2 linked regions of the Tribolium castaneum genome follow. Each later gene encodes a partner of the first gene's protein in a complex. Links are inferred from orthologs where the notes say so. Each region holds a gene or a part of one and is shown in the gene's direction. Other genes may lie near its edges. The genes, in order: Dph1 and Dph3.

Evidence for each region.
Region 2: Dph1 (region 1) and Dph3 share a complex: the UniProt entries of both Caenorhabditis elegans proteins name them as parts of the 2-(3-amino-3-carboxypropyl)histidine synthase complex. The link is inferred for Tribolium castaneum from reciprocal best matches to the Caenorhabditis elegans genes dph-1 and dph-3.

Annotation. Positions count from the first base shown.
Region 1 is NC_087394.1:25,652,312-25,661,633, reverse strand, and holds Dph1 (2-(3-amino-3-carboxypropyl)histidine synthase subunit 1), read left to right. Parts: upstream 1-3,924; 5' UTR 3,925-4,057; coding exon 4,058-4,072; intron 4,073-4,119; coding exon 4,120-5,331; 3' UTR 5,332-5,366; downstream 5,367-9,322. Other genes in the region: Arpc1 (actin-related protein 2/3 complex subunit 1A-B), read left to right, coding at 481-553, 606-936, 3,116-3,839; F-box/LRR-repeat protein 16, read left to right, coding at 7,979-8,623. UniProt on the Caenorhabditis elegans protein: Catalyzes the first step of diphthamide biosynthesis, a post-translational modification of histidine which occurs in elongation factor 2.
Region 2 is NC_087396.1:11,841,609-11,850,403, forward strand, and holds Dph3 (diphthamide biosynthesis protein 3), read left to right. Parts: upstream 1-5,309; 5' UTR 5,310-5,554; coding exon 5,555-5,662; intron 5,663-5,708; coding exon 5,709-5,783; intron 5,784-5,830; coding exon 5,831-5,902; 3' UTR 5,903-6,274; downstream 6,275-8,795. UniProt on the Caenorhabditis elegans protein: Required for the first step of diphthamide biosynthesis, a post-translational modification of histidine which occurs in elongation factor 2.

The DNA of each region.
Region 1 (9,322 bases):
ACTCGGAAACAACGCACTTTCACCATTTTTTCACCCAACTTTTCACACTTTTATCAGATGTGATTGTTGACAGGTTTGACAATCAGCTGTTAATTACTCCCACGCCCACTAGGTTAATTGGGACAAAATCCCTAAAAAAATTGAAAAATCCCTCAGAACTTTTTGAATTACAAAAATTGTTACAATTAGGCACAAATGCATATGAAATTATGTCGGTGAAGACAGCACCAAAAATGGTGCTGGCACCATGAACATTACAGCCATGTTCACACAATCCGAGAGAAAATATTAATTCAAATATGGCACCTTTAGATTTTGTTGGACTGGCAACACTGCCGCAACTGTCAAAAAAACTAACCGCACCCGGTTACTCATCTGGGGGCTTTCCCTTATCAAAAATAGCTTGACTCCGATTAAAATTCGCGTAGACTGACCAGAGTCCGCGAATTGTGTGAAAACAGGGTTAGTTTCTCTTACAAAATGACCGAACAGCACCGTTTCGGGACAGTGGTGAGCCCCATCACTTGTCACGCCTGGAACAAAGACAAGACTCGTAAGTAACCCCAAATTGGGGCTTCAAGTCGTTAAACTGTTTTCTCTTCTAGAAATTGCCATTTCACCCAATAACCATGAAGTGCACATCTACCAACGGAGTGGTTCTGATTGGAAGCCCCTCGATGTGTTGAACCAACACGATCTTCGTGTCATGGGCATTGATTGGGGGCCCAACACCAACCGTATCGTTACGTGTGCGGCTGATCGTAACGCATACGTGTGGACACTGGATAAAGACAAGAAATGGAAGCCAACTTTGGTGCTTTTGCGGATTAATCGGGCGGCGACTTGTGTCAAGTGGTCCCCCAATGAGAATAAATTTGCCGTAGGGTCGGGCGCGAGACTCATCTCTGTGTGTTATTTCGAGTCCGAAAACGACTGGTGAGTAAAGAGATTTTCTATATTTGCTTTTGTTATATCGAGAAAAATATTTTGTAGCAACTTTGATTATCAAATAATTTTTTTAAATAAAAGACCAAAAGAATTTCTACTGCGTTTTCTACAGTGACGCGTTTTCTAGTTTCTGATAAAGATGAATTGCATCTATAAATTTAACACATTAAGGTTGTGAGTATGTGAGGTTTAGAGCAGGTTTACGTAACGTTTTAATCGCAACTTAAATGACATCTTAATTGGCATTTGTTTAATTAGGATTTAAATTTTAATTTCGCTTTTTTTAAAACGGGTCTTAGTTTCTCAAAATTTTGAACTTCAAGAAAAAATTTACTTTAGATGGTTTTATTATTTACCTTTTAATAACTTCTTTTTTCATTGCAATAATTAAAAAAAAATCTTAAAACTAAAAGTAAATCAAAAAATAAATTTCTGTAAAGGCTGTTCCATTAAAAAAACCAAGTTAGTATTGTAATTAATTTTCAAACAGCCTGTACACATGAAAATAATTTCAGTATCTATGGCTTTTGGAAAAAATATTAAATTTTTTAACATTCAGGGCCGGTTTATACAGGGTGCTCAAAAACTGGCGCACCAACTCAGTGGTACGTTGTTGAGAAGCATGTGTAAATCACGGGAAAAATCTTGAAAAAATTCCTAAAGTGATATTTTAAAATATCTGGAGCTACAAACTTATTTTGTTATTTTCTTCAGTTTTCATTATTTTTTAATGTTTTTATGTTTCACACTAAGTAATCGTTCCCTAACACAACGATGAATAACTATTTTTAAATTTCCCATCAGACTTTAGCAGTTTTTTTTATTTAAAAAAATAAAAATTCATCAAAAAAATCACAGTTTGTAGATGTGACAACGCTGGGAATTATTTCCTAGGAAACCGTTTCAAAAATAATATATTTGTATTGTTGATCAAATTCTATTACGATCACAACTGTTAGACAACGTTGCCACATATCATTTATTTAAAATTCATTATTTATCAATAACTTTAATGCAAAGAATTTTTTTATTATTTTTACCTTTATATGTAAGCAATGCTTTACCACACTCCATTGAGTTGGTGCGCCAGTTTTTGAGCACCCGGTAGAAAGCTCAGTTAAAGTTAATTGCGTTGTTAAAAGTTAACAACGCGATAGACCAATCAAATTGGTTCATTTTGGTCACGTGATTATTTAATCACGCATTTAATTGAGGATTAAATTAATGACGTTTCTATAAAGCGACCCTTAAAGGTCAATAATGGACTTCATCAACTCGCTGAGGCTCTCTGTAGTGATAAATGTAAAAGACCTTTAACATTTTTTTTATATTAGGTATTCTGAATTGTAACTGAAAAGAGAAATAGGGAGAATTGCGTAGAAAAATGCCAAAGGTATATTAATTTATAACACTTGGTTAAGAGACACTTTCGTTAATAGGAATTACTTATTTTCTTGTTCAAAAATTTCGCTAATTACAATAATCTTCCTAACCTTTAGCGACAACTGTACATTTTCATAATAATTTTTCTCTTTGAATTGGTGGGTTTTCTTGGCTCAAAATTTGTCATTGGGATTCAGTTTAACACAGAATTCCTTTCTTATACAGAAATTCTCTATTTGTGCTGTATTTCTCTCCGAAAAATGCAAATACGCTTGTACAAAATTCTACTAAGAACTGAAATGAGATATGTTTGTTTTCTTCAATTTTTTCCGTTTTTTTTACATTAAAATGTGAATAATTTGAAAAGTATTCAAACCTGAAACCCTGAATACAATAACGTCAATAACAAACAAAAAAATAAGTTCTAAATTTTTTAAAAGCCCGAGATTTTGCAGAAAAAAACTGAAAAAACCCCTAGACAGGACTAACAGGAAAATCAGTGTTGCCAATTGATCTTTTTTCTTGTATTTTTAAATTTGAATTATTTAAAAAGAATTGAAATGTTGAATTCATATAAGGCGAATTGCAAAAAACAATTTCTGGATTTTTTAAATACCTAGATTTTGCAGAAAAAAAATAATTAAAAAACCCCTCGACCTCCTGACAACCCTGCTCTGTGTAACAAACTAATAGGAAGGCCAATAAGTCAGTGTTGCCAATAATTTTTTTACTATTTAGTCACCCGATATGTCTATATATTATTTAAACATTTCGTAATCTCTAGGTGGGTGTCCAAGCACATCAAAAAGCCAATCAGGTCCACAGTGACCACCCTGGACTGGCACCCAAACAACGTGCTTCTAGTCGCCGGATCCACCGATTTCAAAGTCCGCATTTTCTCGGCTTACATCAAAGACATCGAAAAGACCCCCGAACCCACCCCTTGGGGCTCCAAAATGCCCCTAGGCCACCTCTTGGCCGAATTCGCCAACTCCAATGCCGGAGGCGGATGGGTCCAAAGCGTGAGCTTCTCCCCCGATGGTAACAAAGTGTGCTGGGTGGCCCACGACTCGACCATCAACGTGGCCGATGCCACACGAGGCAACGCAGTTTTTAAATTACGAACCGAATTTTTACCCTTTTTGAGCTGCACTTGGATCACCAATAAATCAATCGTGGCCGCGGGCCACAGCTGTATCCCGGTTTTGTACACTTTGAACGACAATGGCCAGCTGGTCTTTACCGCAAAGTTGGATACGTCGCAAAAGAAGGAGTCAGGGGGGCTTACCGCTATGAGGATGTTCCACTCGTTGGATAAGCAGGCGAGGAGCGAGACTTCGGACACAAACTTGGATTCAATCCACCAGAATGCCATCACTTGTGTCTGCATCTATGGGGGCACCAAGGGCAACGCCACCAAGATGAGCACCTCAGGGCTGGACGGGCAACTGGTCATTTGGGACCTCAACTCGCTCGAGAAGGCCATACAAGGGCTCAAAATCGCCTGAATACGCATTTTTCATTTAATTAAATGTATCACACGTGTTTTTTAATAAAACAAGTTAGTAAAGTTTTGTGACATTTGAATCTGAATCTAGTGACTAGATTTGTTTGGTGCAATTTGTTCACGTCAGTGTGGTACCAGTCACATAACCTTACTTGTTATCACAATAATTGTAATAATTTAACCATTTTTCCTCCAAAACAACGCAATGTCATTCATGAAATGACTTCAGAAATGGTGCGTAAACACCCCTGGTTGCGTTACATAACAATTAATATCAACAGGCGTCGGGGGACTCGGCTATTGTGGTGCGGGCAAAGCCCGCACGTAAGGTTTTCGGGGCGAAGAAAATGACAAAAATCCCTCAGTCAATCCTCCAGGATACGAAACTCAACGCTGCGATTGAATCCCTCCCCAAAAACTACAACTTCGAAGTGCATAAAACAATCTGGCGGATTAGGGAGCTGCAAGCGCAAACTGTCGCCTTACAGATGCCCGAGGGGCTGTTGCTGTTCGCCACAACCCTCGCTGATATTATCAAAGAGTTCACGGGGGCTGATTCGGTGATTATGGGGGATGTCACGTATGGGGCTTGCTGCATTGACGATCTGACGGCTAAAGCTTTGGGGGTTGAGCTGTTGATACACTACGGGCACAGTTGTCTTATCCCAATCGATCAGACGAGTGGGATTAAAGTGTTGTACATTTTCGTTGATATAAAAATCGATCCGGGGCATTTCATCGAAACTGTGAAGCTAAATTTCCCCATTTCGACAAAAGTGGGACTTGTGAGCACAATTCAATTCGTCACGACTTTACAAAGCGTGGCAGAGAAGCTAAAAGAGGTGGGTTTTGACGTTTCGATACCGCAGTTCAAGCCTTTATCGCCCGGCGAGATTCTGGGGTGCACTGCCCCTGTGTTACGCTGCTGCGACGTTATAATTTACTTAGGGGATGGTAGGTTTCATCTCGAGGCTGCGATGATCGCAAATCCGAAATTGCAAGCTTACCGATACGATCCGTACGATAAAAAATTCACAAGGGAATATTACGAGCACGCTTTGATGGAGAAAAATCGCAAAGAGAGTGTGATGAAAGCCAAAGAGGCGCAATTGTATGGCGTTATTATGGGGACTTTGGGGCGGCAAGGGAGCCCCAAAGTTGTCGATTATTTGAAACGACGGTTAGAAGAGTTGGGGAAAAATGCAGTCGTGATTTTACTGTCTGAGATTTTTCCGAAAAAGTTAGATTTATTTAGTTGCGATGCTTTTGTTCAAATTGCATGTCCAAGGCTTTCGATTGATTGGGGGCTTGCTTTTTCGAAGCCTTTTCTAACACCGTATGAAATGGCGGTGGCTTTAGGGGATGCTGAGTGGCATAAAGAGGGAGCTAGCTATCCAATGGACTTTTACGCAAATGCCAGTCTGGGGCCCTGGACCCCCAACCACAAGCCTGATGCTGATAAGATTGATAAATGCTGTGGCAAATGTCCTTAGTAGGGTAGAAATAAATGTTTTATTTTAATTACGAATCTGATTTTTTCTCATCATCATTAAAAAAAATCCGAGTCCCCGTTCTCATCTTATTAAAGTAGGACATTCATTCCTAATAAGACGTAACATTTTGTTGTTTATTTAAAATATTTCAAAGCTCAGTTGGCTGCGACAAAATTGGCCGACCCACTGAGATTGTCACACATTTGTAAACAAAATTGTATGGAATTTGATAAACCTATTATGTTCTTGGAATAACAATACGGAATTTTTTTAATAATTTTATATTTTATAATTTTTAATTTTAATAATAATTTTTAATATTGTATTTACTTTATTTTGTACGCTGAAATCATTCCCGTATAAAAGAATAAAAAGTTATAATAACCCTTAACTAGACCGGAATAAACGGTTGATAAGCAACTGAGAAATGATAATCGAATCCACACAATTTAAATGGATGAGGTATCATGAGTAAAACACTGCTCCTTTTTTCCGTTTATTATTTTTTTTTATTAAAACGGAAGTTTAGTGTTTTCGTAGGTATTTTGACATTTAATGTGCGTTCAATTTGATTTCTGAACGAGGTAGCCTATGATTAGGAAATTATGCTGGCAACACTGGAAGACACCATCAGGATTCACGAGATTGTTAATTTACAAAACTACAGACCACTTGGATTAGAAATTTAATTATTAAATTAAATGCATTTTATTAAAACTTACTCATTTGCGTTAAAAGATTTTTTTTATCGTGGTTTTTACCCACCTAAAAGTCCATACTTTTATTTTTTGGAAGGTGAAATTTAGGATATTTTGTATAAAAGTTAAAAGCATATTTTTACTGTGTCTCCTCAACTAATAATCAGACAGAATTTAGCGTTTGCTATGAAATACTTTATTTTTTCTCTATAAATGTTATTTTTTCAGAAGTTTTCTATAATTCCTTCTAATTAAAATTAATTAATACTAAGCCGCGGCACAAAAAAATATAAAGTGTTTCACAGAACTTTATGAAACCCATGACAGGAGTTGGCAAACTAATCACTGTTTAAGTAATAGCCGCAAATTACAGTTTTTCAGAAACAATTTCCATGTGTTCTATCAAGAGACTGAATGGATATGATTCTATCTAACTTAATCACATAATCACTACCTAAAAACTTTGTAATTTTTGAAGGGGTGAATAAACTAGGGAAGACTCTAATTTTTCAAATTTTGTAACTGAGTTCGTATCGGTGTTGTTGATTGCATTTTCCTAACATCATTCTAAAACAAATGACGTTAATTGATGTTGTTTTGTACAAAAAAATATGTTAAAAAATGTGGCTAATTATGCGATTCTTTATATGTACGAATTAATTAAAACTTAATTTCATGAAAAAAAAAATGTGTTTTTCGAAATAAGCTTTGGCGCGTTAAAATTTGATTGGAAATTGTTCATAGCATTACTATGTTATTATACTAGAATATGTATTTATTATACATACTGAAGCTCATTATAATCGCTACATAAAGCTTCTTGTTATTGAGATTACATTTTATAATGTAATTTTTGGGCTTTTTGTAAATTTTTTGTTTTAGTATAACACTAGAAATTATTAAATTTCGATTAAGAATATGTTAGTACTTTCAATTCAATTTTAGTTATAAAGAATTGGGGAAAAATTCTGGAAAACTTCACCTGCATGGAGAAAAAAAATTAAGTATGTATTTATTTATTTAATAGCAAACACTAATCTCTGTATGATTCATAGTTTTTGAGAAAAAAAAAATACTTTTAGCAGACTCACCTTGTAATTTTGCAAAGCCAACGAACAAGGTCTTTGAGCAAATATTTATGGAATAAAAACCGATTTTATAAAGTTACCTTGACACAGACAAAAAAAAAAGAAAATGAATTTTAAAATAGGAAAATAATACAAAAAATGTTAAGTAAGCAACCCTTTTTTTTACTAAATAGTCACTCTGCTGGTCAACTACAAATTTCTGAGGTCGCTCTTTTACGGTAGGTATTGCGAAAAATTTAAACATGATTTTTAGTTCAGTTTGTGTAGTCAAATTATGGTAACCCTTGTTTTATTAAACTTTTGGAGAGACTGTGGGAAAAATTGCTTCATTTTTAGTAGAAAAATGATTTTTTCCCACTATTATTAAACAATGTTTGCTCAAAATAAAGAAATAAGATTCCTTACCAATTCTCTAAACTCTAATAGTTCCTATACAAAAAAAAACAATTTATTTTTATTAATGTTGTTGTATTCTTTGTTTATTGTTTAGTGCTACTTATCATAAAAAAATGGTTTTAATTTTCTAATAAACGTTTATTAATTTCTTTAATAACGTAATTTATGAAAACTGGAGTTAGTATTCAAGACATACGTTCATAAAATATTCGAAGCACTCTTGTCCACGATTTACGCTAGCAATTATCACATTAATAATAATTAATTCAGATAAATCCAAAGACAGTGCAAATCAAGTTACGCAACGCTTTGTCCCTCCGAATTTATCCGTTCGTTTTCGCCGTTTGTCGGCACTCACCCCCGTTTTCTCCCGTATTGATCGGTCCATCAGCAGCGAGGGTGAACGCGACCGTATCGAGTGGTGCAGTGATCGCGATGCCCTCGTGAGTGCACCCCTTACACATCATGTCGTCGATATCGGCCCAGGGGGTGGTGGAGCGCGCCTCGGCGGAGCTCTCCAAACGCATCAACGGCCTGGGCCTCCGCGGCAGCAAGCACCACTCGACCAAAGGGGGCAGCGTCATGGAGCGCGTCACCAACGTGTTTTGCGGCGGCGGCGGCGGCGGGAGCGCGGCGGCCGTGGCCGCCCCCGAGAAGCCCTCGCGGCTGTTGCCCGGCCGCGGGGGCCCCAAGCCGGGCCGCCGCCCCCGGCCGCCCCCGACCTACATGCCCTGGGAGCAGCTGGTGGTCGACGACAAGTTCCTCGCCAGGTTTTTCCTGTATTTCAGTCCGTGCGAGCGGTGCGTGCTGGCGCAGGTGTGCACTAGGTGGAGGGACGTGTTGTACAGGTCGCCGAGGTTTTGGACGGGGCTGGTGCCCGTGCTGCAGTGCCGGGAGATGAGGGCGGCGCAAGGGAACGAGCGCTCCAGGTTGTACTCGTCGCTGCTGAGGAGGGGGTTTCATAATTTGTGTCTGATGGGGGCTTCCGATGAAGATGCGCTCGATCTTATTAATTCGTTTCCGTTAGCTTCGAAACATATACATACGTTGAGTTTGAGGTGTTCGAGCATCACCGATCGGGGACTCGAGTCGCTGCTTGACCATCTGCAGGTTAGTCCAGGGTTACATACACCTTTTTTTCGATTAGTTTATTTCTTATACACAAACACCAAACACGCTCATTTTTTGGTCATTCACACCAAAGTCTAATCGATGTTCATTGTTCACTTACAAAAAGTAAACGAGTAACGCTAGTTCAAAGCTACTGATTTTTCTATTACAATTTTCAATTACAATTTGATTCATCACATCTGAATTTATTTATTAAAAAACAAACAATCGAATTTTTAAACTTTTAAATTAGTTCAGACCAGATATTTTTTTAATAAGTTCCAACGATAATTAGGGAGACATTCAACGTTGAAAATAATTTTAAATAGATAACTAAATTAAGAACTGTTTGTTAAGTCGCTGAAAAAGATGTATTTGTAATGACATTCTGAAACAAACGACGCTCATACAGGGTTAGGCAAAAGTAAGGAATCAAGCATTTTGTGTCTAAACTACGTACCTTACGAAAAAAACTAATTACAAAAAACCTCTAAACAACGGACACCGGTGAAGAATCTTTAATTGTCCGTTGTGGAGAGGTAACCACTGGTGAGAGGTGGACAATTTTAAATAAATTAACTAAAATCTTTTCAAGATAAAATTAAAATTATTAAAAAAAAAACAGATTTTTTACTTGAAATCTTCAATTTTTGTGTGGTTGCTTTTAGGAGCCTTGCTTTTTATAATAATTTTTTACAG
Region 2 (8,795 bases), on another chromosome or scaffold:
ACTTAGTTATTTATAAACGATTACGAACTTGTTAAAAATTTAGCGGCGTTCCCACTTTTCTCCGTAAATATTGACGAAGAAACCATAACACATAAATTTCCTCCACCGTTCACTTATTGATATTTGTCTGTATCCTCCCCAGCACAGCATGTAATAATGATTCGAATGGCTCGGGCTGAAATAATTTTTAATTTTCCATTTGAGCCTGGTAGTTTTGTTTTATTGAATTTAATGGAATATTCATTGGAGTGCAGAGAAATAAAAAATATTTCACGTGAACACGAGCATTTGCAATTTGTTGATGTTTTTTTCTTGTGATGAAAAAGCGATCAATACATCGCGTGGAGCGGACAATTGCGGACATTTTCACACTTTCTAGACTACAGGAACACGAATTTGCGTATAGTCCGGGACATTTCTATATGAGATACGTCACAGCGCATACCTTGACGCGAGACTATATAGAGCACAAAAACTAGATAAGACCTCAAATTTAGGGAACTTGTTGTTTGATGTGTTTGACAGATGACAAATGTAAACAATAATAAAAATTTAAATATTTCTTTATTGTAGCAAAATGTACCAACTAGAACATTTACAAACAAATGGAGAAACTTTCAAATGCTTTGAAGTACCGTTACTGGACTACTGTTGAGGTTATGTTGGACCTTGGTATGGCTGTCAGGTCAGGTCAGGTTATGTTTGACCTTGGTATGACTGTCAGGTTTAAAGTTGAAATTTGCATTAAAAAGGCCATAACAGCCTCGAAGTGCCTTTTAGGGTAGTCATCGTCATGTTCCAATTGCATACCCCCTCTCTGCCACATCAGTAAAATTTGCCACAAAAGTTTTAAAAAACAATTTTAAACAACAAAAAAGGCCCTATTTTCATTAACAATGAGACATATCTCGCTGCATGCGGCACGACATAGGCCTCATAGACCAATCTCATTGTGAATGGTTTTCGCTGAGATCACTTTGAGAGGGTTTCACTGAGACTGACGTTGGCGGAAGGCTGAAACCTGCCTCGCGACAAGTCTTTGCACCAACATTCGAAAACGCTGTCAATGGCTTAAAATGATAAACTGTGTCAGTTTTTTTGTGTCTTTTGGGATTAGTCTTTGAGTCCTGTCGCGCCGCATGTAGCGAAGCAGATCTCATTGTTAATGGGTTCTTTAAGAAACAGTTTCAATATACACAAGACATACACTGAGACGGCCTCATGCCTCATATCATGGCTTATAATTGACAGCGTTTTATAGAATGATTTGGAATCATAATGCAGAGATTGTTGCGAGACAGGCAGCAGGTCTCAAGCCTACTGCAGAAGTCGCTCTCAGTGAGTCCATGTCTTAGAGATGCAAGACCAAATTAGACCATTTACAGTGAGATTGGTGTCCGAGACCTATGTCATGCAGGAAGCCGAACTTCATCGTGAATGGACCCTTTTCAATGGGGGTGTGCTTTTTGAATAAATTTGAAATGGCCTTTTTGAAAAAAGCAGTTGACTCTCTTTTATTCATCTATTCAAAACGTTTGTATTCGATGCACTTACACCAATTTCATTATCAGTGTCTTGATTATCAGGCAAGGGCAAAGTGGAATTGGGGCAACCCAGAAATAAAAACACTTTAATTTCCTTTATTAGTAGGCTATATTTTTTATAAAAGACGACTACTCTCAGATAGAGACGTACAAAAATGTAAACAAGAGTAAAAGTTGGTTTTTAGCAATATTTCACACTATTCTTCCACACGTCCACAGTAAAATCAGAAAACGCTTCTTGTTATAAAGCCCTAATTATGTTTTTCGACGATGACTGAGACTTTGTGACGTATTTGTTAAACGTAAGTTTTCAAATACCCCATGCCAGTGCAAAGGAGTTATATTAACAATTTTATGGGATTATTTTTAACCTTACACCCATTCTGCTTGAAACAAGAGTGGCTACCAGGAAATAACAACGAAAAAAGTGGACCCAAAAGGCTTCAGCTGCAAATTATAAACACTATCTGTGATTTTTTAAGAAATTTTTTTAATAATTAATAAAAAACATGACAATATTAAGCTTTTCGATTTCGTTTGGTTTGAATTTTATATGAAAATAGAAAGGTTAACCCTCTACACCAGAAAAGACAAAAACATAAAGAAAGTATCTGTAAATGTCGTGAACTTACTTTGAAGTAAACAGTGGGCCCCATCTATAACTCATAATTACTTGAACCGCAATTACCATCATCAAAATGTGCAAAACTGCGATAAGTGAGGTTATGCAGTTATGCACTTTGTTTTCCAGTTTTTCACACAAAATATATCACAAATTGCACAAATCGTACAACCAGCGATAGTCAGTACTGTCAGTACGTCACAGCAGCTTTCTCCAGCACAATCACTGACTGCAATTCTGTGTTGTGCCATTCCCGTCTCATCATATAATCTAAGTAGTTGTTATATGACAAGTAGTGTTTCTACCTTCAAAAATACTTGCGTAAATATGTTATTATCCCGTTAGTACACACTTTTAAAGCAGCCACTGGTTATATAGATTAAAATTATAACATTTCCTTTGTTATTGTGTTATTATTTACATCAGTCAGCTGTTTACTGTCATTTCCTAAAGCTACCAATTTTAAAAATGTTCCTGTTATTAAAACTCAAGGACCATAGAATGAGAGAGAGAACATTTTTTGTTCACATAGACGCTGAATACACGTATAAATGTCAGAAAATTCAAATTTTTTATGTCCAAATAGAAATGTCCCGGACTGTATGTGAGCGTAGGTCAGTGCTTCTCTATTGAAACTGATAATGAGTGAAAGTGGTGTAAAATACTACAAACGAATTATAAACGGTAGGTCGATCGGCTTAGCAACAACGCTAATTGAGCCCGAAAATATTTTCGGCGGGACTGTGACGATAAGTAAGGCGGACGAAGTCCCGGAATACAATTATTTTTCAATTAGCACACAAACCCAGTTAAGTCGTTTAGTCGCAATCCGATTACATGACCTTTTTTCTTTTGTACGAATTAAATCAGTTTCTTCCCTCGTTCAAGAGGCCGAATCCAAGGCGTTTTCATGTTGCAAAATTAGTTTGCAAATTTATAACGCTGCAACCAGTAATACAGCGGGCGCCGAATACAAATGATCGGCGTCAAATTAAAAGATAATTAGTTAGTGGAGTGAATTGTAGGGGTTATATGGTAGTTCTGACCATTACTTTGCGGTGCGGAGAATTGTTACTTTGCTCGAAGATGGTGATTGACAGATGGGGTTACGTTTCGCACTCCTGCCCCCTTCGAAGACTGTCGTAATTAATCTTGTTTAGGCAATCGATTTTAAACAAAACTGTTTCTGGGGCGTTTATCACTTCGCTCTGCATCGGACGCCGAAATGGACAGCTTGTTAGCACGAAGAATTTAGCTCCAAATCGAAAAAGAGGACAAAAACTACACAATCATTGCAATCGATATTCTTTCACAGCGTTTGCACTTATTTTGTATGTTTTAAACAGCGACAAAAGGGCCATTCCTAAAAATTTTGAGAAAAAGTTATCTAAGGATTCAATTAAAGTTTGAAGTTATGTTTTACCTTTACGTTCATCTCTTTTTCTCTCAAAACAAAAGGTATTTTCCCTTTATTAGGATGTGCTCTTACGTACTTTACCTTTACCTTTACCTTTTGCCGCATTATTTTGTTATTTTTGTCACTTTTATGCTCCGCTTTACTTTTATACGTTTATGTGTTCTCTCAATCTCTTATTTTTGCTTACGTGTTGTTTCACTTACCTTTTCTTCACTTTTTTTCATAGAAAAATTGTTACACCTGATCCGGGTACTGACCGTCTTTTGCAGACATTTTAACACAAACTTTTTAAATAAATCAACATTACAAACTATGCAGGGTGGTCCAGGAGTAATCAGATATTTTATGCATTTTATTTACGAGTACGATTATGATGATTGATTATGATTACACACATTCTATAAATTGTAGTAGGTTTAAAACTCTATTTTAATTCAGCATAATAATAAGCCTTTTAAATATTACGAGTACACTAACTTGCTCATATTGTTTTGCAGTTTATTAAGTACTTCTCTATAAAAAAGATTCGAATGAACGCGGTTTTTCCTTTATAAATCACTTTATGTTGTAACAAAAAGTTTCAGCGTTATCGGATTTCAATTAATTTTAAAACGCTTAATGACGATGCATTCTGAAACTAGTCGGTTATATTTTAACAGAACGTTTGACTTTTGGCCTGTTCTAAACATAAAATCAACGGCTGAAATTAAACATGATTAACGAGCAGCAGACTTGTCAAAATCAGATGCGCTACCATTCTACGCTCAATGCCCCAATAATAAAAACCAAAGGCGTAGTCATTGGGAAAATACTCAAAAATAAAATGTTTTGATTTAACCTTGATTCGTAAACAAATTAATTCTTATTTTGATTCAGTAGTGCGTTGATTTTATCCCCGAACGATTATAAGAACGCTCTGTTCACCTGAACACGATTCAAATTTCACGAACTGAACAAATAAAATCGTCTCTATGCATTATAAATATTTTTTTCAAAAATCACTATTTTCCTCCCTCGTGGATGGATATACTTTATGATATTAGCGTAGTCCCGGAAAAAAAGATGACTTTTTAATGCTTTCCGCTCGCGTAGGAAAGAAGCCTTTTGAAGGTAAGTAAAATAGGAATAGGTACGTTACGTACACCGTACACGTACTGGTAAATAAGGTATCTATACTTTTACATTAAACAAAAAAGGGTGCAACCGCTCGGATTGCTCTGATCCCATGCTCACACATAAAAGCGCGAGTGAACGATCATCGATGACGACTCAGATATTGAAAAATATCTCTGCATCTGCCTCACGCTCAGGAATCAGAACTACGACTCATCATCGTGGTTGCGTCAACTCTACGTTTGAGTGTAGAGTATGTGAAGATATACTACAGAAATGATCCTGTGAAGTATGATCTTGATGAAACAATCTTTAGGACTTGTATTTGTACCAACACGTACGACAAGTAAGCGTGAGGACTACTGTTACTGCCATCTTACGGACGCTCTGTAAATTGTCCGACAGTATAAATTAAATTATATTTTGAATTGTATGTTGTTTTGAATACCTTGTAATCAGTGGAATTAAGAAACACCATGTCTTGTCTTTAAAATAATTACAATTACTGTTATCAATTATTATCAAAAGTAGCTAATACAGACTCGGCTGAAGTGCAGGACTTGAGAAAATTTACCCATCAGTCCTCGGTAGTATAGTGGTCAGTATCCCCGCCTGTCACGCGGGAGACCGGGGTTCGATTCCCCGCCGGGGAGACTTTTTTTAATTAAATTTTAACTATTTTACTTAAGATAATAATAAAACAACCCAACAGTGATTCTCCACAATCTCGAATTTAATGCGTATTATTGTTGCCCCTCAAAAAATTAAACGTCACGTCACATCACTCCACACATAACCACAATCTGTCACATGGTTTGGAACCTTAGAAAATTTTAAAATTCAGCCACAAATAAAGTAATGACTGTTTTTCACGACGAAATAGAAATCGAGGATTTCGAATACGACGAAGAGGAAGAAGTTTACTATTACCCTTGCCTATGCGACGATAGGTTCCAAATATCCAAAGTGAGTGCCTTGGCCTAACCTCATTATATTTACTATCAATTTTAAGGAAGAATTGCTCGCGGGCGAAGAAGTAGCGAATTGTCTGAGCTGTTCCTTGGTGGTTAAAGTAATTTACGACAAGGTAAAAAATAGCTTGTGAGGCATTAACCCCAAAAACCCTTATTGCAGGAGACGTTTCAGGAGCAAAATGAAGTCAAAAAACTAACCGAAGATTTGAAAAAATTAGAAGTGACTAAATAAAATGAGCGGTCGAGGCGGGCGAGGGGGCCGCGGCGGTCGCGGGGGGATCAGTAAATCATTCAATAGGGAGCAATTGAGTGCTATGGGGGTTGTCGGTAACGAGGTTTTGCCGGGACCTGTCACGCAACCGCCCCCTCTTTACCCGATTTTAGACCGGAGCTCGATTCCATCGCCACAATTGTGCATACAACTAAAATAATCTCAAAACTGGACCAATTCAACTAAATATTGCACCAACAAACACAAATCAATAGGAAAAATACAACTAATTGACATACTTTGGCCATTCCTACTTAGTAAAATACACATCAATTCTACTAACACAATAAATTAGACATCACATTGTTAATAAAATTATAACTAAAAACCAAAGAGGATTCATTTGAGTACGTACTTGGAGATCAGAGTCACTGCAGAAAAATATTCACCTACTCCTCTTTGATCCTTGATTATTAACTAGGAAGGACAGCTTGTGTCCTGTGATACCCTGTGCTAGGATGGAAGACTTTATAGTACAGCAACATGAACGTCAGTCCCGCAAAAAACGGAATAACGTTCAAATACACAATAGGTGTATAATAAATCTGTTTCTGCAGAGTAGTATCAGCATTACAGTACCACACAACATTAGCTATCGTATTTTCTACAAACAGCACGACGTAAAAGAAAACATATTTCAGAAAAGTCGGGCCTTCGACTAACGTAACTGGCGTGAAAATATACACAGTACCAAAAATTGAGTAGAAAAACATGTCATAGACCTTGTTATGTTTACAAAAATTATTTTTTTGGTTCGTACAAGACAGCCACATTGTCATCACGAACCAGTGGAGAACAATCACCAGAATCGTAGGCACCAAGTACTTGGATGCTATCACACTGATACACAGGATCCTTGAAACTAAAAAAAAACAATTAAAACAATAATTACGGACGACTAAAACATCAGGTGACACGGCGTACAAATAGCTGTGCAACTACAAGACAACACAATAATTTCACCGAAAACTGTTTTAAAAAATACGAACTTTTATTAATAAATTATTATTTACCCTTTTTATCAAGCGCATAAACGTGTTTTTTTCGTGAGCTAAATTCAAAATAGAATAAATAAAACAATAAGAGCAGAAGAACAGTCCACTGGTCACTCCCAGAACACCACGGAGAGAAAAAGCCCCCCAGAAAGACCCCCACCGCCGATTGTCATTCACGGCAAAGCGAAAGACCATGCAGCACTTCTTCAGTTCTGCAAGAAACAAGCTGGTGAAAATTTCACCATCAAGTACACCCGGGAGAGGACAATCATCTCCACAAAAACGAAGAAAGAATACAATTCCATCAAGGAGAAGATGGAACAAGACGAACTGGAGTACCACACGTACACCACCAGGGAGGAGAAAACCCACGCGTTCGTGCTCCACGGCCTGGACAAAGGGCCTGAAATTCCTGAACTCGTGGCTGAGATGAAGGAGAAGGGTGTTGATCTCATCAACATGTATGAGATGAAAAACACCCAAAGGCCCCTGTTCCTCGTCATCACGGGGAAATACGAGACGCTGAACAGCATCTCCAAGAAATGCCCGGCACTAAGCCACATCCGTGTGAGCTTCCACCGGTATGTCAAGAAAACGCGCATCACGCAGTGCCACAGATGCCAAGAATGGGGCCATGCGACAAGCAACTGTCGCGTGAAACCAAAATGCCTGAAATGTGCCGAGGGACATTGGACAAGAGATTGCGAAATCGGCGAAGACGCCACACCAAAATGTGCGAACTGCGGAGGCCCCCACACCGCAAACAATCTCAATTGCCCCGTCTATCAAAAGCGGGTGCAATACATCAACGAGAGAGTCGCACATGAAGACGACAAAGCGGGCCGCAAACCCACCCGCTACATTCCAGCCCCGGCCCCCAAAACCAACGCCTGGACGAGGGCCCCCACGATGCAACCGCAGCCTGTGCCCCCCACGGCTGCATCACACTGGCCAGCGCTGAGCCAGCGCTACCCCCATCAACCACAGGAGCCCCCGAGAGCACCACAGCCCCCGAGAGCACCACAGCCCCAGGTGCCCCCCAAACCCCAGGGAACGATGACAACGGCCGAGACCCTCGCGCAGCTCTCACAGGCGTGCAAAAGGTTAGATCAGTTAGTTGACTTATCTAAAATGCTCAAGGCGGTAGTTGATCTCACCACCCTGCTGGAAGGGTGCACAGATCCTACCTCCAAATTTATGACAGTTTTCGAATTCACCCAAAACCTCCACACTTATGGATTTTAAAGCCATTTGTGTAATTTGGAATGCTAATAGTGTCAAACAAAAAATTGACGAATTAATTGCTTTTTTACATTCTAACAACGTAGACATTTTGGCCATCAGCGAAACAAAATTAACACCTAACGATAGATTTTATATTCAAAATTACAACATAATAAGGAAGGACCGAGTAGACGGTACTAATGCGGCGGGTGGCGTCGCGATTTTAGTCAAAAAAGGTATTTCGTTTTCAAAATTAACGTTACCGCGAACCACAATAGAAGCCGTCGGAATTAAATTAACTAATCAAATTCATTTTATTGCAATTTATAACCGCCCGTGTTATAACATTTCACAACGCGATTTAGAAAACCTAAATAATATCGGTAATAAAGTAATTATAGCTGGGGATTTCAATGCGACTCACAACACCTGGGGATACCATCGAAATAATACAAGCGGAAATACCATATATAATCTTAGCATTAGTAGCAATATCATCATAAACCACCCGCGGTCACCTACTCACTTTCCCTCCAATAATTCCACCCCGACAGTAATAGACTTAATCCTTACGAAGAATTTCTTGTTGGAAAACGACCCTCAGTCTCTTTCACAACTAAATTCCGACCATAATC